Linked DNA regions of Cricetulus griseus. The protein of the gene in region 7 interacts with the protein of the main gene of each other region in a pairwise test. Links are inferred from orthologs where the notes say so. Each region holds a gene or a part of one and is shown on either strand. Other genes may lie near its edges.

What was found.
Region 1: the proteins of protein N-terminal glutamine amidohydrolase (region 7) and Kctd9 interact in binary tests that used the Homo sapiens proteins (3 or more experiments, as listed by UniProt). The link is inferred for Cricetulus griseus from reciprocal best matches to the Homo sapiens genes NTAQ1 and KCTD9.
Region 2: the proteins of protein N-terminal glutamine amidohydrolase (region 7) and Gas7 interact in binary tests that used the Homo sapiens proteins (3 or more experiments, as listed by UniProt). The two-hybrid records come from large-scale screens. The link is inferred for Cricetulus griseus from reciprocal best matches to the Homo sapiens genes NTAQ1 and GAS7.
Region 3: the proteins of protein N-terminal glutamine amidohydrolase (region 7) and Nudt14 interact in binary tests that used the Homo sapiens proteins (3 or more experiments, as listed by UniProt). The two-hybrid records come from large-scale screens. The link is inferred for Cricetulus griseus from reciprocal best matches to the Homo sapiens genes NTAQ1 and NUDT14.
Region 4: the proteins of protein N-terminal glutamine amidohydrolase (region 7) and Rpia interact in binary tests that used the Homo sapiens proteins (3 or more experiments, as listed by UniProt). The two-hybrid records come from large-scale screens. The link is inferred for Cricetulus griseus from reciprocal best matches to the Homo sapiens genes NTAQ1 and RPIA.
Region 5: the proteins of protein N-terminal glutamine amidohydrolase (region 7) and Pts interact in binary tests that used the Homo sapiens proteins (3 or more experiments, as listed by UniProt). The two-hybrid records come from large-scale screens. The link is inferred for Cricetulus griseus from reciprocal best matches to the Homo sapiens genes NTAQ1 and PTS.
Region 6: the proteins of protein N-terminal glutamine amidohydrolase (region 7) and Gmds interact in binary tests that used the Homo sapiens proteins (3 or more experiments, as listed by UniProt). The two-hybrid records come from large-scale screens. The link is inferred for Cricetulus griseus from reciprocal best matches to the Homo sapiens genes NTAQ1 and GMDS.

Annotation. Positions count from the first base shown.
Region 1 is NW_023276807.1:222,713,853-222,717,988, forward strand, and holds the start of Kctd9 (BTB/POZ domain-containing protein KCTD9), read left to right. Parts: upstream 1-1,336; 5' UTR 1,337-1,443; coding exon 1,444-1,491; intron 1,492-4,136. Other genes in the region: Cdca2 (cell division cycle-associated protein 2), read right to left, coding at 39-102, 586-672. UniProt on the Homo sapiens protein: Substrate-specific adapter of a BCR (BTB-CUL3-RBX1) E3 ubiquitin-protein ligase complex, which mediates the ubiquitination of target proteins, leading to their degradation by the proteasome.
Region 2 is NC_048600.1:81,542,711-81,546,210, reverse strand, and holds part of Gas7 (growth arrest-specific protein 7), read right to left. Parts: intron 2,736-3,500; coding exon 2,620-2,735; intron 1-2,619. UniProt on the Homo sapiens protein: May play a role in promoting maturation and morphological differentiation of cerebellar neurons.
Region 3 is NC_048598.1:181,120,708-181,123,132, forward strand, and holds the end of Nudt14 (uridine diphosphate glucose pyrophosphatase NUDT14), read left to right. Parts: intron 1-1,606; coding exon 1,607-1,847; 3' UTR 1,848-1,925; downstream 1,926-2,425. UniProt on the Homo sapiens protein: Hydrolyzes UDP-glucose to glucose 1-phosphate and UMP and ADP-ribose to ribose 5-phosphate and AMP. The physiological substrate is probably UDP-glucose. Poor activity on other substrates such as ADP-glucose, CDP-glucose, GDP-glucose and GDP-mannose.
Region 4 is NC_048601.1:62,432,077-62,436,040, reverse strand, and holds the start of Rpia (ribose-5-phosphate isomerase), read left to right. Parts: upstream 1-1,164; 5' UTR 1,165-1,202; coding exon 1,203-1,466; intron 1,467-3,964. UniProt on the Homo sapiens protein: Catalyzes the reversible conversion of ribose-5-phosphate to ribulose 5-phosphate and participates in the first step of the non-oxidative branch of the pentose phosphate pathway.
Region 5 is NC_048597.1:162,282,810-162,287,093, reverse strand, and holds the start of Pts (6-pyruvoyl tetrahydrobiopterin synthase), read left to right. Parts: upstream 1-1,484; 5' UTR 1,485-1,562; coding exon 1,563-1,642; exon of another isoform or gene 1,643-1,762; intron 1,763-1,848; exon of another isoform or gene 1,849-2,208; intron 2,209-2,484; exon of another isoform or gene 2,485-3,195; intron 3,196-3,424; coding exon 3,425-3,504; intron 3,505-4,284. UniProt on the Homo sapiens protein: Involved in the biosynthesis of tetrahydrobiopterin, an essential cofactor of aromatic amino acid hydroxylases. Catalyzes the transformation of 7,8-dihydroneopterin triphosphate into 6-pyruvoyl tetrahydropterin.
Region 6 is NC_048596.1:252,836,242-252,839,741, forward strand, and holds part of Gmds (GDP-mannose 4,6 dehydratase), read right to left. Parts: intron 1,868-3,500; coding exon 1,763-1,867; intron 1-1,762. UniProt on the Homo sapiens protein: Catalyzes the conversion of GDP-D-mannose to GDP-4-dehydro-6-deoxy-D-mannose.
Region 7 is NC_048603.1:29,479,147-29,482,646, reverse strand, and holds part of protein N-terminal glutamine amidohydrolase, read left to right. Parts: intron 1-1,030; coding exon 1,031-1,130; intron 1,131-2,506; coding exon 2,507-2,557; intron 2,558-3,500. UniProt on the Homo sapiens protein: Mediates the side-chain deamidation of N-terminal glutamine residues to glutamate, an important step in N-end rule pathway of protein degradation.

The DNA.
Region 1 (4,136 bases), on a different chromosome or scaffold from region 7:
ATCTTCCATCTAACGAGGGTAACAAGTCACCAACGTACCAGAATTATTAACGACACACTCCCTGGCTTCAGAGGGCTGCTTGTCGTGTGAACTTGCATCCATCTGGAGATGGGGGAGTTAAAGACAAGAATAAAAAGTGAGAAATAATCCCACTACATGTAAAAAAAAAATGCGACGGAACTCTAACGAAATCCGTACTAGGGGTACACCTTGGGAAAGAATTCGGGGCGTTCTGGTGGAAGAAGTGCTATTGACTACACAATACTGACAAGTTGGGGCTTTTCATCCTTTGATCCCGGTCGGATAACAGACGTACCTCTCCCGCCCGAGGCCCGCAGGTTCCCACAGACGACGACGACAAGCGTCACGCAGGATTCACTTCAGAAAGCACCAGAGACAGGCTCAAGAAATGACCCGGGTGGGCCTCCTGCAGGCCGCCGCACGCCTGGACACACCACGTCCTGGAGAAGCGAACTAGCCTCACTACCCGCCAGCAAATTCAAACTGAGGCCACGCCCCCGCGGAGGGATCTCTGCGATTCGCAGCCTACGTGAGAGAGAGCATCCCGCTCCCTCCAGTCCTCACCGTCACGCTCTCGGACGCCGCAGGGAGACCTTCGTGTATCCCGGGAGAACTACTGCCAGCCCTGAATGATCCCCTAGCGAGACACATCTGCGGCAAAATGGTGTCCTGGGGACTAGCTAGGCGTTCTGCGGAGCAACACATCAGTTAACTGATAACCCCGCCCCTAACCTTTGGATTGGCTGCTGCAAACTTCGAAAATGAATCATTAGACCAATCATGACATAACCGCAGGATGGCTAGTCTACCCATTAGCCAATCCCGACACCAGCCGTTACCTTGGTGGGTGGGATAGTAGGAGGGGTTAAAGCAGAGCAGGGCGCTGACTGGTATATGGGACTTTAGCGTCCGGCCTCTTCCTTAGACTCCGACTCTTTATGCAAATGAGTTGCCCCACACTCCTGCGTGCGCCTGCTCAGTAACGCTTAGAGCCACCCTTTGCCAGTAGGTTTTGCTCTGATTCGCTGATATTCCTGTCCGTCAACCAGTCTTCAGCCTCTCTTTCCTCCCTCCGCCGACTGGCGTTTGTCTGAGCCCACCCCTCTGCGGAACTCTTATTGGCTGAATGCTGGCCGGCTCCGAGCGTTGATTGGCCTTGCTCAGTGTCGGTCTTGGCGCGGTTGGGGGAAGGGCCGCTCGCAGGCTTAAGGAGCCTAGGGGCGGGGTGGGAAGGAGGATCGGCCAACCCCGGGGTGTGGGACTGAGAGTACGTGCGTGAGGAGTGTGGGGCCGACCAGGAAGGTGGCGAAGGGCGGAGAGTCCGGGTGGGAGGCGGGAGGGGTCTCGCGGGCGCGGAGCGCGGCGGGTGGCGGGCCGGGGGTGAGGGTGGCGGCTCCCTCAGGACCCGGCGCGGGCGGCGCGATGCGGCGGGTCACGCTGTTCTTGAACGGCAGTCCAAGGAACGGCAAGGTAAGCGGCAGCGGGGGCGCGACCCGGGGACCCCGACAGTTTCCCGGCAGCCCGGCCACCGGGGCTCCAAGGCTGTCACCTGAGCGGCGGGCCGAGGTCCCCTCCCACCTTCCCGCTGCACCCTCCTGTCCTTATCGGTGCTGAGTAATGCTCAGCCCCGGGGGGAGGCAGAGATCACCGAGGCGGGTGACCCTGGCCAGGTCGGGGGAAGAAAACTCCAGCGGACAGAGTTGAGTGACATCCTCAGAATAGGTACCTGGTCTGCAATGCTTCCCTTCTCTTTTAAGGTGCCCTGGCCCCCCTTCCCTGCCACTGTACAAAACTTTTGTACACGTTTTATTGTGTCGCCTTGTTTGGGTCACTTGGAGAACGGTGACAGCAGACCAGAATGACTTAATTTGACAGTAGCCTTAGCTGCGTATAGGCCTCCGTGGAGGGCGTGGTGCTAAATATTTTTCCGATGTTGCAGCAGCCTCTTGCCCCACCCTTGAAAGTTATTCTTTGGAAAATGTGGGCTGTTGCTGGCGGACTTGTAATGTGTGGTTAGATGACTGCCCCACACAGAAGTAAGCCTATTTAAAGTCTCAGAAGTAATGAAGCCTTTTAAAGTTTAAGTTCAAGGTACATTGGTCCCACTCTATTAATTGGCCAGAATACTCTTAAGTCCTACACGTATACATAGCATGGGGGGGTTTCAACTTCTCTGCAGTTTTGAATAAACAGACTCTGGAAAACTGAACCACAGTGAGGTTTGCTCTGCAACTTTGTTTTCTTAAAATTTGCTGTTCATACAAAAATAGTCTTGGCATAAGCTCTGCCAGTGCTTCAGAAGTATGTGCCGCAAGGGTTCTATGAGTTCTGATCATTAACTTTTCCTTAACCAACTCTGTAGTTGGCTGGTTTTCATAAAGTAAGTCTATGTGGTTATTGAGAGATTTGGTATATCCAGTATTGATGTAAACTTTCACCTGTGCTGGTCTATGTGTGGTACTCCATGAAGTCTCGTGGATAGAGGTCCTTATAAATCCTCAACTCTATGTCTTCTGAATCCACTGAAGCTTATTGTCTAAAAGTTAAGTGAGTTGCTCTTTGTGTATTATTTAATTTTTTTTAAACTTCTAAAAAGTTTTGAACTTTGGGTTTGACTGTGAGTTTCCAATTTAAATCTTATTTACTTAAAATCTTGAAATCTCAGATGATTGGGGAAAGCACATCTCAGATAATTGTATGTGCATAGATTTTACAAAGATGATAAAGTCTGAACTGAAGAATACTAACATTTAATAATTAAAAGAAACTATACCTAGTACTTTCTACTAAGCTAGAGAACATATGTTCTAAAGCTGTTTCCTCTCCTTTTAGCTGATAGAAAAATATTAAAATGACTCTTATTTGACAAGATCACCATACTGCCTTTATATGTACACAGATGGATATGTAGCATATACATAGCAACTATATTTAGTAAGGGTTGTCGTAAACATGACATGGATGCTCATTAAAATAGTCCTAAATGAAGTGCTGCTCTGAAATAGTTTGGTTTCCTGTCTGTAAAGTAGAATATATCATTTAGATTGTCTCCTTTCTTACCTAGTTTCTATTTTTAATCCCTTAGTCATGAGAATAATCTTCTCTTCCAATGAGTTTCCCTCTTACAGCTTGTTTTGTGGTTATGAGCTGTGAGGTGGAAAGGCACAGATTTCATCACCATGCATGAGGATAGCAACATGCATTTTCTGTTTGTGTAACTGATAAGTGCTCTCAATGTTGTTGAAAGAGCTGGTTTCTCCTAAGTAAAATGAAATATGGAGAGCAGAAGATGACCCATTGGGATTTAGGAAGGGATGTATGTTATTTATGTTTTTACTTAAAACAAAATAATTTTAAAATTTGGCCTTCCTAATCTGGAAAAGCATGAGGGCCTTTAGTCACTGAACTTGTCAAGCCAGTCTTGTTTTTTTCTAGAACACAGGCCTACACATGTAAATAGGTTGATAGCCAGTACCAGTTGGTTCTCTTTGACATATGATATATAGAAGCTTTTAAGTACATTGGAGATTTACATCATTCAGTCTTAATTGAATTAGCCATCAACTATGCCAAGTGACTAAAAGATTACTTCAAAGAAATTGCAGATTGAAGCCAGTATTAATTATGCAGGTACAGTAAACATTGAGAAAGTGGCAAAGCTGACTGCTTTTCATAGCATTGGCTATAAAGTTAAAATAATAATAATAATAGGATGTCAGAAGCCATAGAGTGCCATGTTTTAAGATATTATTTGAAATTTTACATAATAACTGCTGTTAATAGTCAATTTCTTCCTTAGGGTATATTGTTCTTTGAACGATTAGCCAGTGGTCCGAGGAGGTCATTCTAATTACCAAGATGTGAAAAAAAAGTATTTTCCTGTACATGCAGGCAAATGGTCTTGAGTTGTTTTGTTCTGTTTTTCCTTTGCCTTAGTTTTTAAAAACTTTTTGGCTCAGAGGTTAAAAGCATTGCACAAGCAGCTTGTGTGATTCCACCAGTAATTCCAGCCCCTGAAGGCAAAGATGAGGGATCCCAGGAGGAAGCTGGCTAGCTAGACTGGCCATGGTGGCAAACTCAAGGATCAGTTGAGAGTCCCTGCCTCAATGGATAGG
Region 2 (3,500 bases), on a different chromosome or scaffold from region 7:
GCTAAAGCCCAAAGGATGCAGGGGTCGTAGAGGATGATCATGAGGACCTGCTGCAGCCTCTGCACAAATGCTCACCCCTCACTTCTGACTGGAGCCTGTCTGAAAGCTCCTGGGTTTCACACTAACCCATCTTCGTCCTGTCTTTGCCTCCATTCCCAATTACGTAGACCCCTACCATGCAACTTCAACCTGGGGCCAAGATCTCCAGAAAGCAGATCTCATCATGCCACAAGGCCAAGTGTGAGTGCCAGGAGAAGGAGGTGCACACGCCATCTGCCTCCTGAGCCTCTGCTGTGAGGCAGCCTGTGTCATCTCTACCTCCTGCCCACTTCCCTCAGCCCAGCAAACCCACAAGTCCCAGCCCTGCAGCCTGGCTCTCCTGTCTCTGATAGGCTTCCCAAGAGCTCCATATGTGGGCTGAGAAACGTTCCAGGGATTTGAATTCCCTCTGCTGGCTCCCAGAGACCTCAGTGGCCGGAGATGACAGAAACCATTCATTTGCCAACAGGACATTGTTATGAGTGTAAACCATATGCATATTGAGGCTTCAGCTCCTATTGCTTCCTATTTTTCTGTTTTATGCTTCTGTTTTCTTGCATCTGAACAAAGCAGCCTTCCAATTTCCTACTAGTTTAATGGGTCATAAAATAAAGATTTGATTATACAAATGGAAAATGGGCCTCCTAAGGAAAAACGGGCTTTAAAAACGCCAGAGCATTATTACCCGATTACTAGTGTTATAATGAAGAAATACTTTTAAAAGATCTTTGTTATTTGCCATGAATATTTCCAGCAAGTCTTGGAAACTCTGGCTGGAAAGCTGTGTATATGCTTTGTGAAAAAAAATGTGTTGATGGGGGGTGTGTGTGCGTGCAGGTGTGTGGGTATACAGATGTATGGGTGTGTAAGTATGCAGGTGTGTGGTGTGTAGATGTACAGGTATGTGTATGTGTGTGTGCAAGTATACCAATGTGTAGATGTGTGCACATGTATGCAGGTATGGATGCACAGGCATGCGGGTGTGCAGAAGCATACATGTGCAGGCGTGTGTACATAAAGGTGTGTGAGTGTACAGGTGTGTGGCTGTGCAGCTGCCTGTGCACAGGGATGTGGGTGTGCAGACACTTGGATATGTAGGTGTGATGGATGTGTGAGTGTACAGGTGTGTGGGCATGCAGACATGCAGGTACACAGGTATGCAGTCACATGGGGCCATGGGTGTATAGGCATACAGGGATATAGGGATAGGGGTAAGATGTAGGGGCGTGTGTGAGTCCAGGTGCCCAGGTGTATATTTGTGTGGGGATTTGATTCATGGCTGTGTAGGTACACAGATATTTAGGTGTTAGAGCATGTAGAGGCTAGAATGTGTGGGTACGCAGATGTGTGTGTGAGCAGGTGTGATGGTGTACAGGTGCGTTTGTGCACGGGCATGCAGGTTATGCTGCAATATAAACAAGAGAGACAGAGAGGAGAAAGATGGAGAGGGGACTTCTCTGCAGCTCTTCATGCTTTCCATGAGCTCAATGTATTACTTCTTTATCTATGACCCAAGCTCTTCAGACACAGGGCTATTAGAATCCATAGAGGTAGGGGTGGGGTGGAAGGATGGTTCTATATCTCTTGGCCTGGGAAACAGTTTTAATTAAGAGATGGCCTGGAAGGCCAGGAGTAGCACATACTTCTAGTTCCAGTACTCAGGAGGCAGAGGCAGGTGGATCTCTGAGTCCGAGGCCAGACTGGTCTCCATAGTGAGTTCCAGGTCAATCAGGGTTACACAGTGAGACTTTGTCTCAAGAAAAAAAAGAAGACTTGGAAGATCATGTTCCTCTTCTTGATTATGACAAGGGACAGCTTCAAATGAGGGTAAAGGAGTACAGTGGAGAGGAATGGAAACTGTGACAAATAGGACACATACCCCATCCATGGGTAGCAGCTACTCCACTCTAGCCTCTTGTTGTATAGGGGCTATGCAGGTATCAAGAGATACTAGGCTTCCAGGATCTAATGCAAAACGTGTGTGTGTGTGTGTGTGTGTGTGTGTGTGTGTGTGTGTGTGTGTGTGTGTCCCTCCCTCTCTTCTCTCTCCTCCCTCTCCCAATATGGAGAGAGAGAGAGAGAGAGAGAGGAGAGAGAGAGAGAGAGAGAGAGAGAGAGAGAGAGAAGGGGAGAGAGAGACCTCAAGTAGCTCAGACAAGTCATAAACCTGTTACACACTGAGGTTGACCTTGAACTCCTGACCTTTTTTTTTTTTTTTTTTTTTTTTTTTTTTTTTTTTCTGAGACCAGGTTTCTCTATAAAACAGCCTTGGGTGTCCTGGAACTCTCTCTGTAGACCAGACTGGTCTTGAACACACAGAGATCCACCTGTCTCTACCTCCTGAGTGCTGGATTCCTGACAGTCTTTCAACTCCCAAATGCTGGGATTAGGAGTACAAAGGGTATGAATATTTTTGGATATTGTTTCAAATCTTTAGAAACATTTTCCATGCTACACCACACATTTGTTGGCCACGTTTTTTCCCAGGGCTAAGCATGACCATCCATCCACTCCCCTGGGGTCCAGGGCTCAGAGTGGGCCCTGTAGCCAGCTCCAGGACTGCTTGGGCCTTGGTCTCACCTTTCCCGGATGAACTCGGACATCTCCTTCTGCATCTGCTTGCCTTTCAGTTGCTTCTGCAGCAGTAGTTCAAACCCAGCCACCGTACCATTGCCTTGTGGGTCCTTCTTATCTGCCTATAAAGAAACAAAAGACCAAGTCATCGGGAAGTGGGCTGCATCTCTAGATCCCTTCCAGATTAGACCAGGGAGCCTCTGAAGCTTACAGAATGGAGGGAGAGAGGGAGGGACACACACACACACACACACACACACACACACACACACACACACACACACACACACGTTTTGCATTAGATCCTGGAAGCCTAGTATCCTTGATACCTGCATAGGCCCTATGCAACAAGAGGCTAGAGTGGAGTAGCTGCTACCCATGGACATATGTCCTATTTGTCACAGTTTCCACTCCTCCCCACTCTCTCTCCACTTTACTCCTTTACCCTCATTTGAAGCTGTCCCTTGTCATAAACAAGAAGAGGAGCATGACCTTCCAGGTCTTCTTTGTCATGCTGTCTCAATATAACCCAAACTAGCCAAAGAAGGGCTAGAGTGGCTCCCCAGGATGAACAGTGGGCAGGATCACATGCTCTGCCCAGCTCCACAAGTTCCTCATCTCCTCTCTAGGACATGTCCTGGTCCCTAGAGCCCCAAGGAAGACTTCTGCACAAATGGCAGCCACTCATTATTTCTGCTGCTATCACCATTCATCCTGGTCCGCTCATTCACCTCTCACCCTCCATTCCCATCTGAATACACACAGAGCAGGTCCCACCCAATTTTCCTTTAAAACTCTTCAATACCCCCCCTACTACAGACAGCAAAGACACAACTTCCTTTAGACCTACAGAATCTTTCCATCTACTTACTGCCCATATGACACTC
Region 3 (2,425 bases), on a different chromosome or scaffold from region 7:
AACAGACCAGAGCCTTACCCACTTAATGGCTCCCTGTCCAAGACCAGACATAAGCCAGTGCACTCCCTTGATAGTCATACATGACTAGGCCCAGGGAAGGTAGCCAAGGAAGGGGCTTCCCTCTTGTTGCCTTGCTGTGTGAATGAGATTAGAGCCTGCAGAGGCTGGAGGCAGCCTCTAGCATGACCAGTCCACAGGCTGGAAGCTGTCTCCCTTATAAGCTAGGGAACCGGAGGCTGGAGGCTGCACAGACTGGGTGATTCCAGTCACAGGTGCAGGGCATGACTGCCAGGAAGATGGGCCATCAGGTGGGGGTAAAGAAGTAGCTGGGCATGTCTGTCTTGGATGGAGGTGGGGTCCTCCTTTTGGGGTTTGGGAGGCTGAGAGTATTTCCCAGTTCTGCTGCCTCCATGATGTGTCCTGCTGCGAGATCCCCCAACTCTGGAATCTGTCCTTTATATAAAGACCCTGTGATTCCCACTACCACACCATGGCTCCCCCGATGTGGGCCAGGCTGGCTTGGGTCTTAGCAGAAGCCCTCGTTGGGTGCCCAGGAGGAGCAATGGGCAGGGGCCTGAGGAGGTTCTAAGGGCCTATCACAGTATCTATTCTGGTACTATTTGCTTATGGCCTCGTGGCTTCTGCATACCCAGTCCACATCCAGGGTCCTCAGTCTTCCACTCAGGGTCTCAAAGGCCACATTCATGGCTGCCAGCCACATCTGTAATCGGTCCAGGTGCAAAGGCAGCAGACCAGCTCCTCGTGGCTATTGGTTAGAGGCCATTTCCTGACTAGCTGTTGACCAGGAACCGTTCTTAGACTCCAGTGATGCCTGCAGGTCCCTGCCATGTGTCTCCTTACAGTGCAGCAGCTTGCTCTGTTAGCAGGGAGTATCGGACTTCTCAGATTTTGAGCTTGTATCTGTCTTGTGAGTTCATCTGATTAGGCCAGGCCTACCCAGGTATCTCTCTCCCTTGGGAGGGATTCAGTCAGGTAGCCGAGTAGGGTCCTGGGTCCATGGTATACGTAGAGGCCTCTGACAGTTGTGTTTTTCCCTAAATGTCAGTTGTCATTCATCTTGACAGTTTGCTGGCGGGCCTAGCCTTTGGTGGCTGAGCCATCTCTCTAGCCCAATCATTAAATTCACCTTAAAAATCACTTCAGCGAGCCGGGCAATGGTGGCACACTTTAATCCCAGCACTTGGGAGGCAGAGACAGGCAGATCTCCGTGAGTTTGAGGCCGGCCTGGTCTACAGAGCGAGTTCCAGGACAGCCAGGACTGTTTCAGAGAGAAACCCTGTCTGGAAAAACCAAAAAAAAGGAAAAAAAAGATCACTTTAGTGCTCTCTATGTCCCTTACCTAATTGGCGTCAGACCCCCCCACCTCTGCCACATGGCAGGCCAGAGACAGAAGGCATGCCCAACATTCATCAGGTTCCTCCACTCTAGGGGCAGACATCACATGGATGTACCCATCAGGCGTGGTATTTGGGAAGGGTGAAGCCACTCAGAGCTCTGCCCATCAGAAAGCCAGAGAAAGAAGCATGGAAGCAGGGTGACTGTAGGGTCACCGTGGTGCGTCAGCATTTCCTGTTCTACTCGACAGGTCTGGAGTAGGACTGACTGGCTCCAAGCAGACCATGTTCTACGCGGAGGTGACAGATGCCCAGCGAGGTGGGCCTGGTGGAGGCCTGGCTGAGGAGGGAGAGCTCATAGAGGTCATACATCTGAACTTGGATGATGCCCAGGCCTTTGCGGATAATCCGAATATCCCCAAGACTCTCGGTGTCATCTTTGCTATCTCTTGGTTCTTTAGCCAGGTGGCTCCCCACCTAAATCTCCAGTGAGACCCTGGGGCTACACAGCCCTGTCCCATCCACTCAGCCTCCTGACCCGCACACTCAATAAAGGTTTTATAGTTTTCAGTGTTGGCCACTGGCTTTGAGCACTGTGACCTGGGGTGAGGAACAGTGTCTTCAGGGGTAGCAAGGTCTCCATACAAACCCTTCTGTTCCTCCTCAGACTCTGTAAGTGGATGCACGGGAGGCAGATGGCTGTCTGGGATGCTGTCAGGTGGAGTAGACAGCTCAGGAGGGGCCCAGGTTAAATGTTCAGTCTTGGAACACTGCGCACAGCATGAGCTGTATATGCAGGAGTAGACACTGAGCGTACTGCCAATTCCAGACAGTGTGTACTCCCTGATCTGGGCAGATGCAGGGTCCCTGCCATGCCTGGGGTTGGGCTAGAACCACACTGCTACCACCCAGGAACTCAAGTGCCAGGGATACTTCGTATCTGGCTTCTCCAGTGCCCTCTCCATGACTCATGGGCCACAGTGGCGGTCGTCTCCCTTGGCCTGCAGGACACAAGCAATGTCTGAAGACTAGGCTATGATGAGCATCTAGGGCAGTCGTTTTTGGTGGGG
Region 4 (3,964 bases), on a different chromosome or scaffold from region 7:
ACGCCTTTAATCCCAGCACTTTGAAAGCAGAGGCAGGCAGATCTCTGCAAGTTCAAGGCCAGTCTGGTCTACAGAGTGCCAGGACTGGCTCCAAAGCTACACAGAGAAACCCTGTCTGGAAAACCCCAAAACCAACAAAAAGAGCTCCCAGCTCTATTTGATGACATACTCATGTAATCCAAGCTCAGAATGTCCAAGTTCCAGGCCAGTTTGGGCTACACAGTGAGTACAGGCTAGTGAGGCTGTAGAAAGAGATTAAGAACTTCCAAGTGTTCAGTAAGGCTTAGCACCAGTTTCCAGCTTGTAAAAGGTGGTGATAAGAATTCTTCACCCTTACATTGCAGCAAACTAAAGGCAGAGGAGGCCCAAAGGTTTGAGTTTTAAAATTCCTCATCATCAAGAACTGCGGGATCTCTAGAGGGCACACTGGCCTGTGTGAACACCCAGGCTCCGTCTACACACCATGCCATCCAATACCAACAGCAGAACAATAATCCAAGGCTACCGACTGAACTTGTGGTCTTGGGTTTGTGAAGGTCTAGCAGACTTCAGAAGGCCTGGGAGTCTCAAGTGTATGTCACCAAGGAGCCAATCTTGTTGTGAGGTGAGGTGGCTCAGCCAGTTAAGTACTGACATAGGTGTTCAATTCCCACTACCCAAGTTGTCAGATAATGGACTCCTGCAAGTTGTCCTCTATGACCCACACAAGCCTGCACTCAAGCACACAAAGTACAACTTAAGTAATAAAATGCAATTACACAAAAAAGTTGTGTTGTTAGAACTTGAGTTTCTGGGGAAAACAAAGTCAGGTTTTCAACAGGTCTCTCCTTTTTTTTTTTTTTTTTTTTTTTTTTTTTGCACTGTTTTTTGAATGCGTGTACAGCCAGAAAAGTTCTCGGAGTTCACCTGACGGTGTAAACACTTTACCTCAGGGCAGACAGTTGTTGGTTTTCTAGACAGCTGCTATCCTGACCTTCCGGACAGAAAGGCGGGAGTCAAGGCGGGCGATTTGCTCGCTAGGTCGCACGCATTGTGGGGCTTGTAGTCCAGATTGCCTCAAGGCTTGAGGCCGCTGACTCCTCGGGACTACATTTCCCAGCAGCATGCGCTCAGCAATGCGCGCGGATTAGGTTGCTCGAGCGAGCCGATTTCCGGAGGCGCGGGGGGCGGGGCGGCCGCAGAGGCTGGAGCGAGGTGGCGGGATGCAGCGCCCCGGGCCCTTCAGCACCCTCTACGGGCGGGTCCTGGCCCCACTGCCCGGGCGGGCCGGGGGCGCGGCCTCGGGCGGGGGCGGGAACAACTGGGGCCTCTCGGGCTCCCATGTGCAACTGCCGGGGCGTGCACAGTCTGAGACCCACGGCCACAAGGGAGGCTCGAGCGCGGGCGGCCCAGCCCCCTCCACGATGTCCAAGGCCGAGGAGGCTAAGAAGCTGGCGAGCCACACGGCGGTGGAGAACCACGTGAAGGTGGGCAGCTTGTGGCGGCGTGATGGCTTCGTGCTGCGCCTGACGCCTGACGCCTGAAAGGGAGGGGGGCGGCAGCAGGAGAGGGAGAGGGTGAGCCTTGTATCCGAATACACGCTGCTCTTCCCAACCCCTGAAAGGCCTTGTAGACGTCGAATTGGTAGGTGCCAACTCTCCCCCAAATAGAGCCCCCCACCCCACCAAGATTTCCTGTCCGGCTGCAACTGAGTGTACCGAGGAGCCTGGCATTACCCTGTTGAGAGTCTGTCAGGTTGTTAATGCCTGCCTCCTTCCTAGTCAGCCCATTGAAAATGGTGAGCCCTGAGGCTGCCTCGAGTTCTTCACTTCTCATTCTCCGGAAAGCCACTGGAGAACTGGTTTGCAAAGAGTTTTTGAAATTTTACTCCAAACAAGCTTTTCAGCTCCTCCTGCTTGGGAACTTGAGTGCAATCTTTACAAAGAAGCCATCAAGTTAAGCCTTGCTGTTGACAGGGCCGGGTGGACACGACACCTGGAAGTGGTGTTCTTCAGGTGGAGTCCAGATGTTTAACAGTTACTCAGTCAGGTTGCGTCCCCATTTGGCTTGTTAAGTGGCAGGTGTGGTGCTATGAGTGGACTCTCAGTGTAGCAGGTTAATTATCTTAACTGTATTATTTCTGCAGCCCTGTGGTGGAGTTTCCTGGTCTCGGTTTCTGCTTCTTAGATAGGGTTATCAGAATCCATTTCTGCATAAAAGGAAGTTTTTTTTTTTTTTTCCATTTGCTAGTGTTATGCTGCACAAAGCTGCTTTGCAAAGATGATGTTCTTAGAGATTTTTCTAACTTCCTGCCATGCGTGAGGGCGGCCTGAGTGGGTGGGTCCGGGTCTGATAACCTCTGGCTCAGTCTGTTCTACACCACTCTTGTTTCAGGCAGGGTTTCTATGCTCTTCTGTTCTGGTGTAGCTCTTTGCTCCTTTAGTTTGCATAGGATTTTATACTCGATTTAAGAGGGTGTAGGGTATATGAGTATGAACGTAAAATGAGTGATTTGGCTTTGTGTTTGGAATTTGGTGCCACAGCTGTAAAACTGGAACGTAAAGTGAAATTTCAAAATACCTTCATGAAGTGACTTAACAGATTGGTAAATGCAATCTATACCTTAGGAGAGCCCCTTATCTAAGCTATCGTTTAACGTTTAGTGGCACATGTCTCCCTGACCTTTGTTTTATAGTTACGTATTTGATTAAACTAAAATCTGCAAGCTTTCATCTCATGTTAGAGTCCCCAAACACTGGATTCTAGCTATACTCAAAGAATTACCAGAGAATCCTTGGGAGATCTCTATTGAATTTTGGGAATGTCTTCAAATAGGGTTGTTTGTCCTGTAGGGTTTGATTCAAAGGTCTTTACTATTTCCAGTTTTCCCTTGGCTTCCTAAGGACACTAGAAGATAATTTCCTCTTCCTATTTGGAGACTCAGGCTGACTAGCAGCTTGCCAGGAACTTGATATGTGAACCACGCTGGCCTTGAGTGCTGGGATTAAAGGTGTGCACCACCACATACCTAGATGCTCTGATTCTACCGCCTAAGTGCTGGCATTATAGGTATGTGGTGCTACACTCAGCTTCCTTCAATTGTTTATGACTCCAGACACTTGTGACCTATGCTCTAGTCCTCTGTGCATTTCTCTTGCCTAACTCCCCATGAGCTCTGGGAGGAGACTTATCGTTATCTGCACATTCAGTGTTGGGTACAGTGAGACCTGCTTAGGCAATGTTCATTGGGTTGTGTAGAGTGTGAACACTGATATGGTGGTTGTGGGTTATGGAGGCCCTTTTCCTAGGCTCTCTGAGTTTGGGGTTTCCAGTCTCCCCAATCTCCGCTGACTGTTTCTACTTCAGAGTAGATGGAAAACTCAGAATTCTCAGTTGAATCTTTGCAACCAGGTCCAGACCTGCCTGATTCTAAAAATGTAGTTATCTTGGATGTGTTACTGTGCTGTCCTCATGGCCTGTTGCTTCATCCTTTGCTCTTTGTGAGGCCTCGGCTTTGTTTTGAGATCAGCTTAGCTTGAGGAAACTAGTGAGCAGACACTAGTATTAATATTATTATTAGTAGTAACATTGGTAGTTTGTTTTTTGAGACAGTCTCACTAGATAGCCCTGGTTGCTGTGGAATTCACTATGTAGACTAGGCTGGCCCTCAGACTCTCAAGAGATTTGCCTGCCACTAACTCTCAAATGCTGGAATTAAAGGTGTGGACCACCACACCTATCGAATTCTGTGTTTTCAGTCTGATAAAAGCCTGTTTTACTAACACACTGTTCCAGACTCATCACATATCCCGCCCCTCCCCCCAACCCACCAGAGCCAATCTCATAGATTTTTGAGATCACCCCATTGGACACTATACTGTTTAGGACTGCCCATTAGAAGGGCTGTCAGCTGTTGGGCTAGTTTGCAGGCAGCCCTTGGCCACTTCTAGTTGGACTAGGGCACAGACTCCTGCCTCTGTCATTT
Region 5 (4,284 bases), on a different chromosome or scaffold from region 7:
TTAGCTTTCCACAGCCACAACAGAATGGAAGACAGCCAGGACTGGTGAGGTGGAGAGCTTGGGCTTTGAGTTTTCTTCTTTCATTTTCCTGTATGCATAGCTCCAGAGAGTAAGCCACCACTATCTGAACAAGCAGGACTCAGTTGTACAGGAAAATGTTATTCAAGCAGTTGGAAATTCCTTTCTCTTGGAGAGGAATTAGAGGGGAATAAAAAGGTGGGGCCTCTTTTCCTCTATATGTAGAAGAAGAAGAAGAAAACGAACACTCATAATGCTTCAACTAATTGGTCTGCAGTCAATATTTCCAGTATAGTTTCTTTCTTGCATGCCAAGGTAGCCAAGAATTTGTCATTATGCCTTAAGCAAGCCACACTTCCACATTTCATTTGCTTAAACTATTTCCTCCTGGAATTTATTATTTACCGATCTGTTGGACTCCATAAAACCCAGCTCAGAACAATTTGTTCTCAGAAGCTTTCTTTTACCCTCTGAGATAATTAGTAACCTTTCCCTTGTCATATTACTTGTTTGACTCCCCATTAAACTGAACTTTCAGAGGACAGGGACCATTTTGTTGTTCTGAGGTTCAGGTGACTGATACTTAAGGCATTTGGTATTTAGATCTTAGGTAAACACTTTTTAAATTTAAGTTTTTAATTTGATGAGTGGATGGTTGATGGCTGTGGGGGCTGCCTTGCCAAAGGTGTCCATTTGGATTAGTTACAGGATTTTATTCTTTTGAGATAGACTTTGAGCTCACCATCCTCCTGTCTCAAGCCCCAGTGCGAGAATTACAGATATATGTTGCATCTGATTCTCTGACAGCATTTAGTAGACGCTGATCTTCTGAGACAAAGATACACCTTAATGCCCTTTTCATTTCTAAGCACTGAAAACCATCGATCTAAAACCAGGACTGGCTGTTCCTTAAGGCTGAGGGAGGGTTCTGAAGGGTGACTCTGTTTTCAGGCCTGAGTCTGGTTTGAGAAGGTCGTTGCATGACATTCTCTCACCTGCCAATTGTAGTGTCAAACGTTTTCCTTTATTTTCCACTTGAGCTACTGTTTTACTATGCTGCCTAGAGTAGACCGGAACTCCTAAAATCAATCCTCCGGGCTCAGACACCAGAGTAATTCGGAGGACAATGCGCTGTTATCCTTGGCTAGGGTTTCCTTTAAGGACACTCTCAACGTGGTACTGGGCTGGAGCGCATCTGATAAGGGTGCCCAGCCACTGGCCTTTTCCAATTCTAACCCAGAGCTATCACAAATGTAGTGAAAGGGGAAGACACAACGATCGTGGGCAATTTAAAAATCCAGGCCTCTGGCTCCCATCCACTCACTGCTCCAGGGTATTTCTGATTGTCTAGCAAAGACTGAACAGCAGGAGGTGCAAGAGACTGCATCCATGCGGACTGACGTGCACCAAGCGCCGAAACCACCCCGGAGGAGCGCTTCCGGCGGGGAGGGCCGAGCTTGCACTGCGCAGCCGCGGAGGGAGGTGTTGGCCTCGGCCGGGGAAGCCGGAAGCGCTGGTCGCTCCCGGATAGCTGGCCTGAAGACATGAGCGTGGCGGGTGGCTTTCGCCGCCGTGCGCGACTGTCACGCCTCGTGTCCTTCAGTGCGAGCCACCGGCTGCACAGGTGGGGTGTGACCACGTGTGTCACCGCAAGTGCCGGGCTTTTCCCGCTACGTCCTCGGGGGCGTGGCCACACGCGTGGGTTTGAGCCGATCTGGGGCGGGCGGAAGAGGAAATGGTGAAGGTACGGAGCCGCAGTACTGGGCCTCACCCGGGAGAGGGCGGTAGAGCTCTGATCCCGCAGGCTCCACTCTGGAGAGGTCCCCTGGGGGCTGCCCCAAGTTCAGAGTCCTGCCACTCACCCAGAGCATCCTGAAGGCACAGTGACAGGAGCATGTTGCTATCGGGTGCAACACATGGTAGCTCCCCGCGACCCTTTTAAAAAATAAAATAAAGCGAAACAGCACGGTCGGGAATTGAATCCCACATACCCAACTCCGCACCTGAGTTTCGTTTTGAAGGGAGCTTCTCTGCTCACTAGAAGGTCTACTCTCTGAACCTCCATTTCCTTGTCTGTGAGAGAGAACAGTCATTTCTAACAGCACCCTTCCACTCCTTAATGGACAATGCTTTGTTCCGTGCTAGGAGACGGGTATATTGAAGGGAATACCAAATACTTGTCACTGCCCGGTATGTAGAGTTTAAAATGGTGGCCATGTTTTGTACAGTGAGATAATTTTCTGCAAAGCCTTGTGAACTGTAGTGCTTGGTAAGTGTAAGCAGAAGGAGAAAGTCAATGGGATAAGAAAGATCTTAAAGAATTTAATTTTTTTTAAAATTGTGTTTGTGTGTGCTTGTGTGTTATGTGAACAGCTTACATGAAGGAGCCTCTGGAAGCCAAAAGAGGGCATCAGATTCCTTGGAACTGGAGTTATAGGTAGTTGCGAACTGTCATGTGGGCACTGGGAGCTGAACCTTGGTCCTCTTCGATAGCAGTAAGCACTCTTAACTGCTAAGCCATCTCCAGCCCCTCAAAACGATTTTTATAGTGGGAAGCTTAAGCATGAGGTTAGTAAGGGTGCAGAAGATAAGGAGTTGGCTGAGTTGGGATAGATACACAAATTCATTGAGTACATTGTTTTCTGTCTGGAATGACAGCTATTGGAAATAATTTTGAAGTTTCACCTGATTTGAGTGTCCCTGAACATACTGGTAAGGTTTCCACTAGGCAATAGTTGAGACAGAGAAGAGTGAGCTTGTTAAAAGAAGAGCCTGGGGTCATTGTTTTCCAGGAGAAATTCGGTTTTTAAGCTGCTGGGGGGACAAGTATCTCTCCTGTTTATCATCGTTACTCCCTGCTTTGTTCTGCTCTTATCCCATAGCTAATACTCAGTGTTCCTTGAATTGAAAATTGGAAGTGGTATGTAACTCAGTGGGTAGAGTGCTTGTCTAGTGTGAGCCCAGGGCTCCATCCCCTGCCCTGCACAAGTCAGTATGTGTTACCAGGTCCCAGCACTTGTGAGGCAGAGGCAAGAGAATCAGAAGTTCAAAGCCATGCTAAGTTACATGGTGACTTTGAGGCCAGCCTAGGATACAGGAGACCTTGCCAAAAGAGAGAGAGAAAGCAGAGAGCAAGGGCTGACTGAGAGGATTTGTTGGATTCTTGCTGTGAAATAGGTGAGTTGAAATCAAAGTTTTTGATAATTTTATGTGGTACTTTGTTCGTTAGGGAGTGTGCATTGGTTCTTGATGGAAAGGTGGATAGATAGTGAAATTCAAGTGATCTCTTTGGTTGATCATCTAACGTGAAGTTAAGTTGTAGAGTTCTCAAAAGCCAGAGCAAAGCTAACAGAGGAATGTGGATGTCTTCCTGGCTCACAGTGACCTTCTGTCTTTCTTTCGTCAGCCCATCTCTGAGTGATGAAGAGAACTTGAAAGTGTTTGGGAAATGCAACAATCCGAATGGCCATGGACACAACTATAAAGGTGAGGGAAGAGCACAGTGACTTCTAACCTGTCTGTAAGAATGAAGTGTGTGTAATGTAGGTACAGGGGTCATGAATGAGAAGCCTTGTGGACAATGTCAGTGCTTTGAGCCCTCCAGTGGAAATTCAAGACAAAGAGCTATTGTCTTGGATGGGTAAGTGTATGGTTTGCCTCAGAGTTGTCTACTCTGTTAAAGATAGTAAAAAACAACAGCAACCAAAATGATTTAAAGCATTTTCTTTGACATTTGAATGCTTAATAAAACTGCTGTTAGCTGTTTCCTTTTAATTAGGCTAGGCTGAAACTAATGTTAAAATTTGATTATAATGACTGTTTGAGGAAACATAATGTTTAACTTGATTTAAACATCAAACTATGTATATATGGATTGAGACACCAAATAATATCCCTTTATATGTAGATTTTAAAAATATTTTTATTGTATCAGTTAAAATTTAAAATTAAAAACCCTTCATAGCAAAATAACTAAAAAATTTTATTTTGAGTAAAAAAATGACCAAATGAAAAGGGTCTGTTGCTTAGGGATGTACTGTGTGGCAGAAAATAGTTTATATATAAAATTTTGCAGGCAGTATTCTAAGACAGTAGTTTGTGGGAGGAAAAGGGACATTCTTCTTTGAGACATGCCTGGTGCCTCAAATCATGATACCTAAGCCCTAGAATGTAGTAGTGTGCCTTGAGTTAGGGTTACATAAGACTTTGGGAGGTCACGATTTCTGGTTTAGTTCCTGACTCTTCTTTTGTCTGAGATGCCTCCTA
Region 6 (3,500 bases), on a different chromosome or scaffold from region 7:
TGGACAGGCAGACAGAATTACTTCATAGCACATATGTAGAGGTTAGAGGACAATGTTTGAGGGTTAGCTCTCCAATGTGAGTTCTGGAGGGTCAAACTCAGGTCTTAAGGTTTCTACAGAAAGAGCTTTCACCTGCTAAGTTATGGTTATGCCCAAGATTAAGTCTAACGAACACTTAACAGACACCTACATTGCAGAATGACATACAGGAAAACTATCTTTGCAGGTCTGAAAGCATGAAGAACATTTCTGGGCATGTTAATAGCGACTCTGGTGACAGGAAACTTAATATAAATGAGGTAAGGAACTTTTTTTTGACCTCCTGCAACATTTTAATTTTTTCTTTGAAATTCACAAATAATTACATTTTAAAATTCAGAAAACAATATTAATGAAAAAGGCTTCATTTACAGAGTACAAATAGAGCACTGGCAGAGACATTATATTTAAATTATCTTTTTACTGTATAGCCTAAGATTGCTTTTTCCTCTCTTAACCTGACTTACAGCAATTAACTTTTACTTTTTTGTGGAAGGGATAGGAGGAATGGGTCAGGTTGAAGAGGAAAAAAATACAGAAATCCAACAAAACATACAAACATGCTTGTGATAAAAGAGACAGGCTTACCATCAGCAAGAAGATTCCTAAAGTGGCCCTACACCCACCCCACCCTGTCCTGCTGCACACACCAGATGCTGCAAGGGAAAAAGAAAACCCTCTTATCTTTCCACATCCCCTTACCAGCAATACCCAGAACATAAAATTAATTAAAGAAATGGTGTGTGTGTGTGTGTGTGTGTGTGTGTGTGTGTGTGTGTGTGTGTGTGTGTTATCAGAGATGGGAAGTTGGCATTCATGCTTTAACAGCCCGTCATGGGAATTGTTAACTGAAGCAATTATAAAATAAAAAATATGTGATGCTAAAGACACCTTTATAAACCTGTCACTTTAATCTTTCTCTATGATTTGTTGGCTTAATTACTTGAGTATATAGTCACATAAAATTTCACTGAAATAGTTATGTCTTATTAGTTATTGGGCAAGAAGCAATTTATAAGTCTTCTTATTTATTCTTACACTCTAAGACTAAATGGCCATTCAATTTAATAAAATGTCTTTGATTTAGATTATACAAATAATTTTTACTTTGAAAAGAATGATATTGTGGGTTCTATTCCCATAAGAATACACGTAGCTTGGTTAATATTTCTCATGTTTAACTAAAACATGAGAAACTAAATATTGAAAACAGAAATATTGCCAATAGTCTCAATGATAACTAAGCCCATGCAAGCAAATAAAGTTTTCAGGAAAGCAAACAAACAAAAACAATAATGCTTAAGAACTTATTTCAAAATGATTTTAGAGTATCTTTTAGAAACAATCATTTCTGGTGTCTCTCTAATGGAATGTAAAGGGAAGAGACTTACTTTTCAGCTGGTTGAGTCTAGGTAAACAGTAATGAGTGACAGAAACCACCAGCAGCTTTTCTCATTCTTTGCATTCACACAGAAATTTGCCAATACTTGGGTTGAAAACTACTAATGAAACTAGTAAATTTGGCACACAGTCCAGCTTTTCACATAGAATTTTTCTAAAGTTCTTATAAATTAAAGCTGGTTTATATTTCTTCATTTACCACAGACATTTATAACATATGTAGATGTTAACTCATTCAACCTATAGAATATCAACAGAATATACATACACCATTTCCTGTGGTTAAAGTCTCAAATTCTCCTTTGATAACATACTCACTGACCTCTTCTAGGACTCTCATGATTGAAGAGAATGCCGTTCACCGCAAAGAGATTATAAGCCTCTCGAAAGTTCACTACAATCCAATAGGCATAAAGTTTGGCTGCTCCTGTTGGAATAATTTTTTAAAGACAAAGTTTACTATAAAGGACTGTGCTTTTCATTCACCTTAATCAGTAATAACTGACAAAATGTCATTTATAATGCATTAAAATGGCTAATATGAATCACAGGACAAAACAAACATTGTGTGTCAATTAATCATATGCATTAGAAATAAAATTCCTTAATTTGCAACATTCATAATTAATTCTTTTACCATCTCATTTATTCAACTATACTATACAATATATCAAGTTCATCTTTCTTAGCTCTCTCTGTCTCTCTTTCACTGTGTCCATCTCTGTCTCCCCAACTCCCTCAAATGTACACGCAGGTGCGTGCACGCACATACACTTTTAGATAATGATAAATAATTATCAATAGAGAATTTAAAATGGCTGAAAGACACTTAAGAAAGTGCTCAACATCCTTAGCTATCAGGGAAATGCAACTAAAACAACTCTGAGATACCATCTTACATGGGCCAGAGTGGCTAAAATAAAAAACATCAATGACAGTCTATGCTGGAGAGCATGTGGAGAAAGACGATCACTCCTCCATTGCTGGTGGGAGTGTCAACTTGTACAGTCACTTTGGAAATCAATATGGCGACTCCTCAAGAAAATGGGAATCAGTCTACCTCAATATTTAGCAATTCTACTCTTGGGCATATACCCAAAGAATGAACATTCATACAACAAGGACATATGTTCAACAAAGTATGTTGTTTGTAATAGAACCTAGAAGCAACCTAGATGCCCCTCAACCAAAGAATGGATAGAGAAAATGTGGTACATTTACATAATGGAGTACTACTCAGCAGGGGAAAAAAATGAAATCTTGAAATTCGAAGTCAAATGGATGGAACTGGAAGAAAATATCCTGAGTGAGGTAACCCAATCACAGAAAGACAAGCATGGTATGTACTCACGCATATACGGATATTAGATATAGAGAAAAGGACTACCAGCCTACATTCCACACCACCAGAGAAACTAGGAAACAAGGAGGATCCCAAGAGAAAAACACATGGTACCCCAAAGAAGGGGAGTGGGACAAGAACCCCTGAGCAAATTGGGAGCATGGGGGGAGAGAGGAGGGAGGTAGGAAGAAGAGAAGAGGAGGGGAGAAGAGAACAAGAGGGATCAGGAAGACTGAGACAGGGGAGGAATAGAAGAGGTCAAGAAAGGAGATACCTTGATAGAAGGAGCAAGTATAGGTTTAGAGAGAGGTCTGGCACTAGGGAAATGTTCAGAGATCCACAGGGATGACCCCAACTAAGAATCTAGGCAGTAGTGGAGAGGCTGCCTTTGATGCCCTTCCCCTATAATGAGACTGATGACTACCTGCTTGCCAACCTAGAGCCTTCATCCAGTAGCTGATCGAAGCAGAAGCAGGCACCCACAGCTAAACACTGAGCCATACTGCTGGAATCCAGTTGTAGAGAGGGAGGAGGGATGAGCAAAAGAGCCAAGACCATGCTGGAGAAACCCCTAGAAACTCCTGACCTGACCTAGTGAGAGCATGGAGACCCTAGTCATAAAGCTGGGGAAGCAGCATTGGACCAAATCAAGCCCTCTGAATGTGGGTGCTAGGTAGGAGGCCTGGGCAGGCTATGGGACCTCTAACAATGGACCTAG
Region 7 (3,500 bases):
GGACAGGACTGACCCCGCCTGGCCTCTGCTTCCTGGTGCAGGCCCCCTGCTCTCTGCAGAACACTGCAGTATCTTCAGTTCTGGTGAACTCTCACTGTGCAGGGTGCCTGCGCTTAGGAGCGGGCTTCACACGCCTTCACCTTGACGTTGAGTGCTTGGAAACATGCATGCATGTATGTATGTAGTGTGTGTATGTATGTCTCTCATGTCTGTCTGTCTCTAATTATGCAATTAACAAGGCTCTAAACCACACATGGAGCGTGCCTGTAGTTCACAAGTACTCAAAAGGTCACCACAAGTTTGTGGCCAGTTTGGTCCACACATCGAGTTCCAGGTCAGCCAAGGTCTACATTATGAGACATTTGTCTCAAAAAGGGAGGAAGGAAGGAAGAGAGGGAGGGAGGGAGGGAAGGAGGGGACGCAGTCTGCATAAAGATGCCATCATATAGTTTGTCAGCTACAACTAAGGGACTAAATTCTATATCAAATCTAATTTAAAACATTCTGTCAAGAGCTTGGCGGTGGTGGTGCACGCCTTTAAGCCCAACATTCCAGAGGCAGAGGCAGGCAGATCTCTGAATTCAAGGCCAGCCTGGTCTACCGAGAGAGTTCCAGCATAGTTAGGTCAGTTACACAGAGAAACCCTGTCTTGATAACCAAAACAACCAAACAAAAAAGTCCTGTGACATTTCTCTATTAATTGGGATTTCTGGAGGGTTATGGTGTACGTGAAAACGTGCATTTTATAGAGGAGACAAGCGGTTCTTAGAGAAGACAGAATACAAAGCTGCTTTTCTTGTTAGTGTTGAGTTTGGATCCCAATGGTTTCTCAGCTTCTGGAATCCTGGCACACTCTTTTACAGGTCATAGTCTTCAGTGGGTGTGGTCCTCTGTCTGGATGCGTGCACAGTACAGGTTGGCTAGCAGCTTGTTGACTGTGCCTTAGAGGAGAGTCACTGTTACCCAGCTCTCTGATGAGGTGGTTAAGGTCCTTTCCAATGATATGGATTAAACAATTATTTTATTTTAGCGAGGAGAACATTTGGAAGCTCTGTGAATACATCAAAACCCATGACCAGTATCCCTTGGAAGAGTGTTCCGCTGTCTTCATATCAAATGAGAAGAAGATGGTAAGTTGGTGAGTGATGGCGGTGACATCAGAAGCTCAGCGCAGTCTGGAAGCTATTCTGTTCTCAAATGTGCTTTGTAACAGCAGCCTTTCAAACAGCTTTCTTTTTCTTCATTAGATTTGGTTCAGGAGAATTTGGTCCCTTGCTTGTAGGTAATGAAGTATGTAATGGCATGTTTATGTAGAATGCACAAGCAACTTGCTTTTTGCAACAGAGTCTCATAGTGTAGACCTTGGCTGACCTGGAACCCATTGTGTAGACCACGCTGGGCACAAACTTGTGGGGACCCTCTGAGTACTGGGTTTATAGGCATGCTCTGTGTCTAGCTTGGGGCTTTTTTAATTGTATAATTAAGCCATATAACTCTGATTTGAAGTAAAGATTTGTGTCTGAAGTTTGAATAGAGCTGGAGTAAACTTTCAGGGAGCATTAGAAGTAGCCCTTTGGGATTTCCAAACACTTTTGTGGACGTTGCCTCATTCGGGGCTCTTAGAAGTTCTATGAAATAGGCAGGGTCTAAACGACTTTCTCTGTTTTACTTTATTGACTTTACTTTTGTTTTGGAGACGGGTCGCATGTATCTCAGCCCACTAGCTTCACAGTCATCACATAGCTGAGGCTGGGATTTCAGGCACGAGCCTCCGTGACCTGCTAACTTTCTCCACCTAATCCGTGAAGAAGATGAGATGCAGAGAGGGCTCATGAGTAACTGAGGACTGACCCCGCCTGGCCTCTGCTTCCTGGTGCAGGCCCCTTGCTCTCTGGAGAACACTGCAGTATCTTCAGTTCTTGTGAACTCTCACTGTGCAGGGTGCCTGCGCGTAGGGTTTAGATTTTATTCTTTCACCTTGATTGCTTAGAAACAGAAACGTTTTTGACTTCAGAATTTAACTTAATTTATCTATTTATCCTGAAATTGGGTCTCACTATGTATCCCTGACTGGCTTCAAACTCAGAGGACCACCTACCTCTGCTTTTGAGTGTTGGGATTAAAGGCATGTGCAACTATGCCTGGCTAATTTTTTAAAATGTTTACAGGTGCTTTGCCTACATACAGGTCTGTGTACCTTGTGTGCACTGTGCCTGCAGAGGCCAGAAGAAGGGCTTGGATCCCTTGGACCTGGAGTTAGAGATGTCTATTAGCTACCATGTGGGTGCTGGGAGCATTCTGTCTTCTCCAGGAGCAGCCAGTGTGTGAGTTGCCATGTGGGTGCTGGGAGCAATCCTAGGTCTTCTCCAGGAGCGGCCAGTGTGTGAGATCTGCTGTCCCATCTCCCCAGTCCACTAAGGAATAGTTTATTACTTACTAGTGTATTGGTGGTATAAAGAATCTAGACGGGTTTGAATGAGACTCACGAATGTCCTCTGTTTTGTAGGTACCTATTTGGAAACAGCAGGCAAGACCTGGGAATGGACCTGTGATCTGGGTAAGCTGGCCACCTAAGAGCCTCTGATGCAGTGTTCCTTGTGGCCTCTGAGTAACCAGTATGCTGTGGTGAAGCAGAGTTGAAAGGACTCTAGAGAAAGGCCATGACAGTCATTAGTAAAAGGATCTTTTGAGAATGGATGTTATTCTGTCTGTGGCAGAAGCTCTGTGGACATATAGTTGTCTAACTTTTGTTTTGGGATCTATAATGGTTTGTGTGTGAAAAGTCCTCTACGGGCTTCTGTGTCTGAATTCCTGGTCCCTAGCTGGTGAATCTATTCTGTGAGGTTGTGGAGCCTCTGAGACCCGAGGCCTGGCTGGTACAAGCGTGTCAGTGGGAATGGGCCTTGAAGGTTGTACCTACTTGTGGTTATAGCCTGTGTTCTCCCAGACTGTTGTCATGTGAGGAACAATTGTCTCGTATTCCTGCTGCCATGAACAGTCACTCCCATCATGCCTTCCTCATAGGATTGGTAGACTGTAGGATTGGTAGACTGTAGGATTGGTAGGCTGTAGTTGGTAGACTGTAGGATTGGTAGACTGTAGTTAATAGACTGTAGTTGGTAGACTGTAGTTGGTAGACTGTAGTTGGTAGACTGTAGGATTGGTAGACTGTAGTTTAGACTGTAGTTGGTAGGCTGTAGGGTTGGTAGATTGTAGTTGGTAGACTGTAGTTGGTAGGCTGTAGGATTGGTAGGCTGTAGGATTGGAGAATGTAGTTGGTAGACTGTAGGATTGGTAGACTGTAGTTTAGACTGTAGTTGGTAGGCTGTAGGGTTGGTAGGCTGTAGGATTAGTAGACTGTAGTTGGTAGGCTATAGGATTGGTAGACTGTAGTTGGTAGACTGTAGGGTTGGTAGACTTGTGGGCTATCTGTACACAGTGTGAAGCTGTATTGCTGTGATTGGTGTCATAAAAAGCTGATTAGCCAGTAGCTAGGCAGG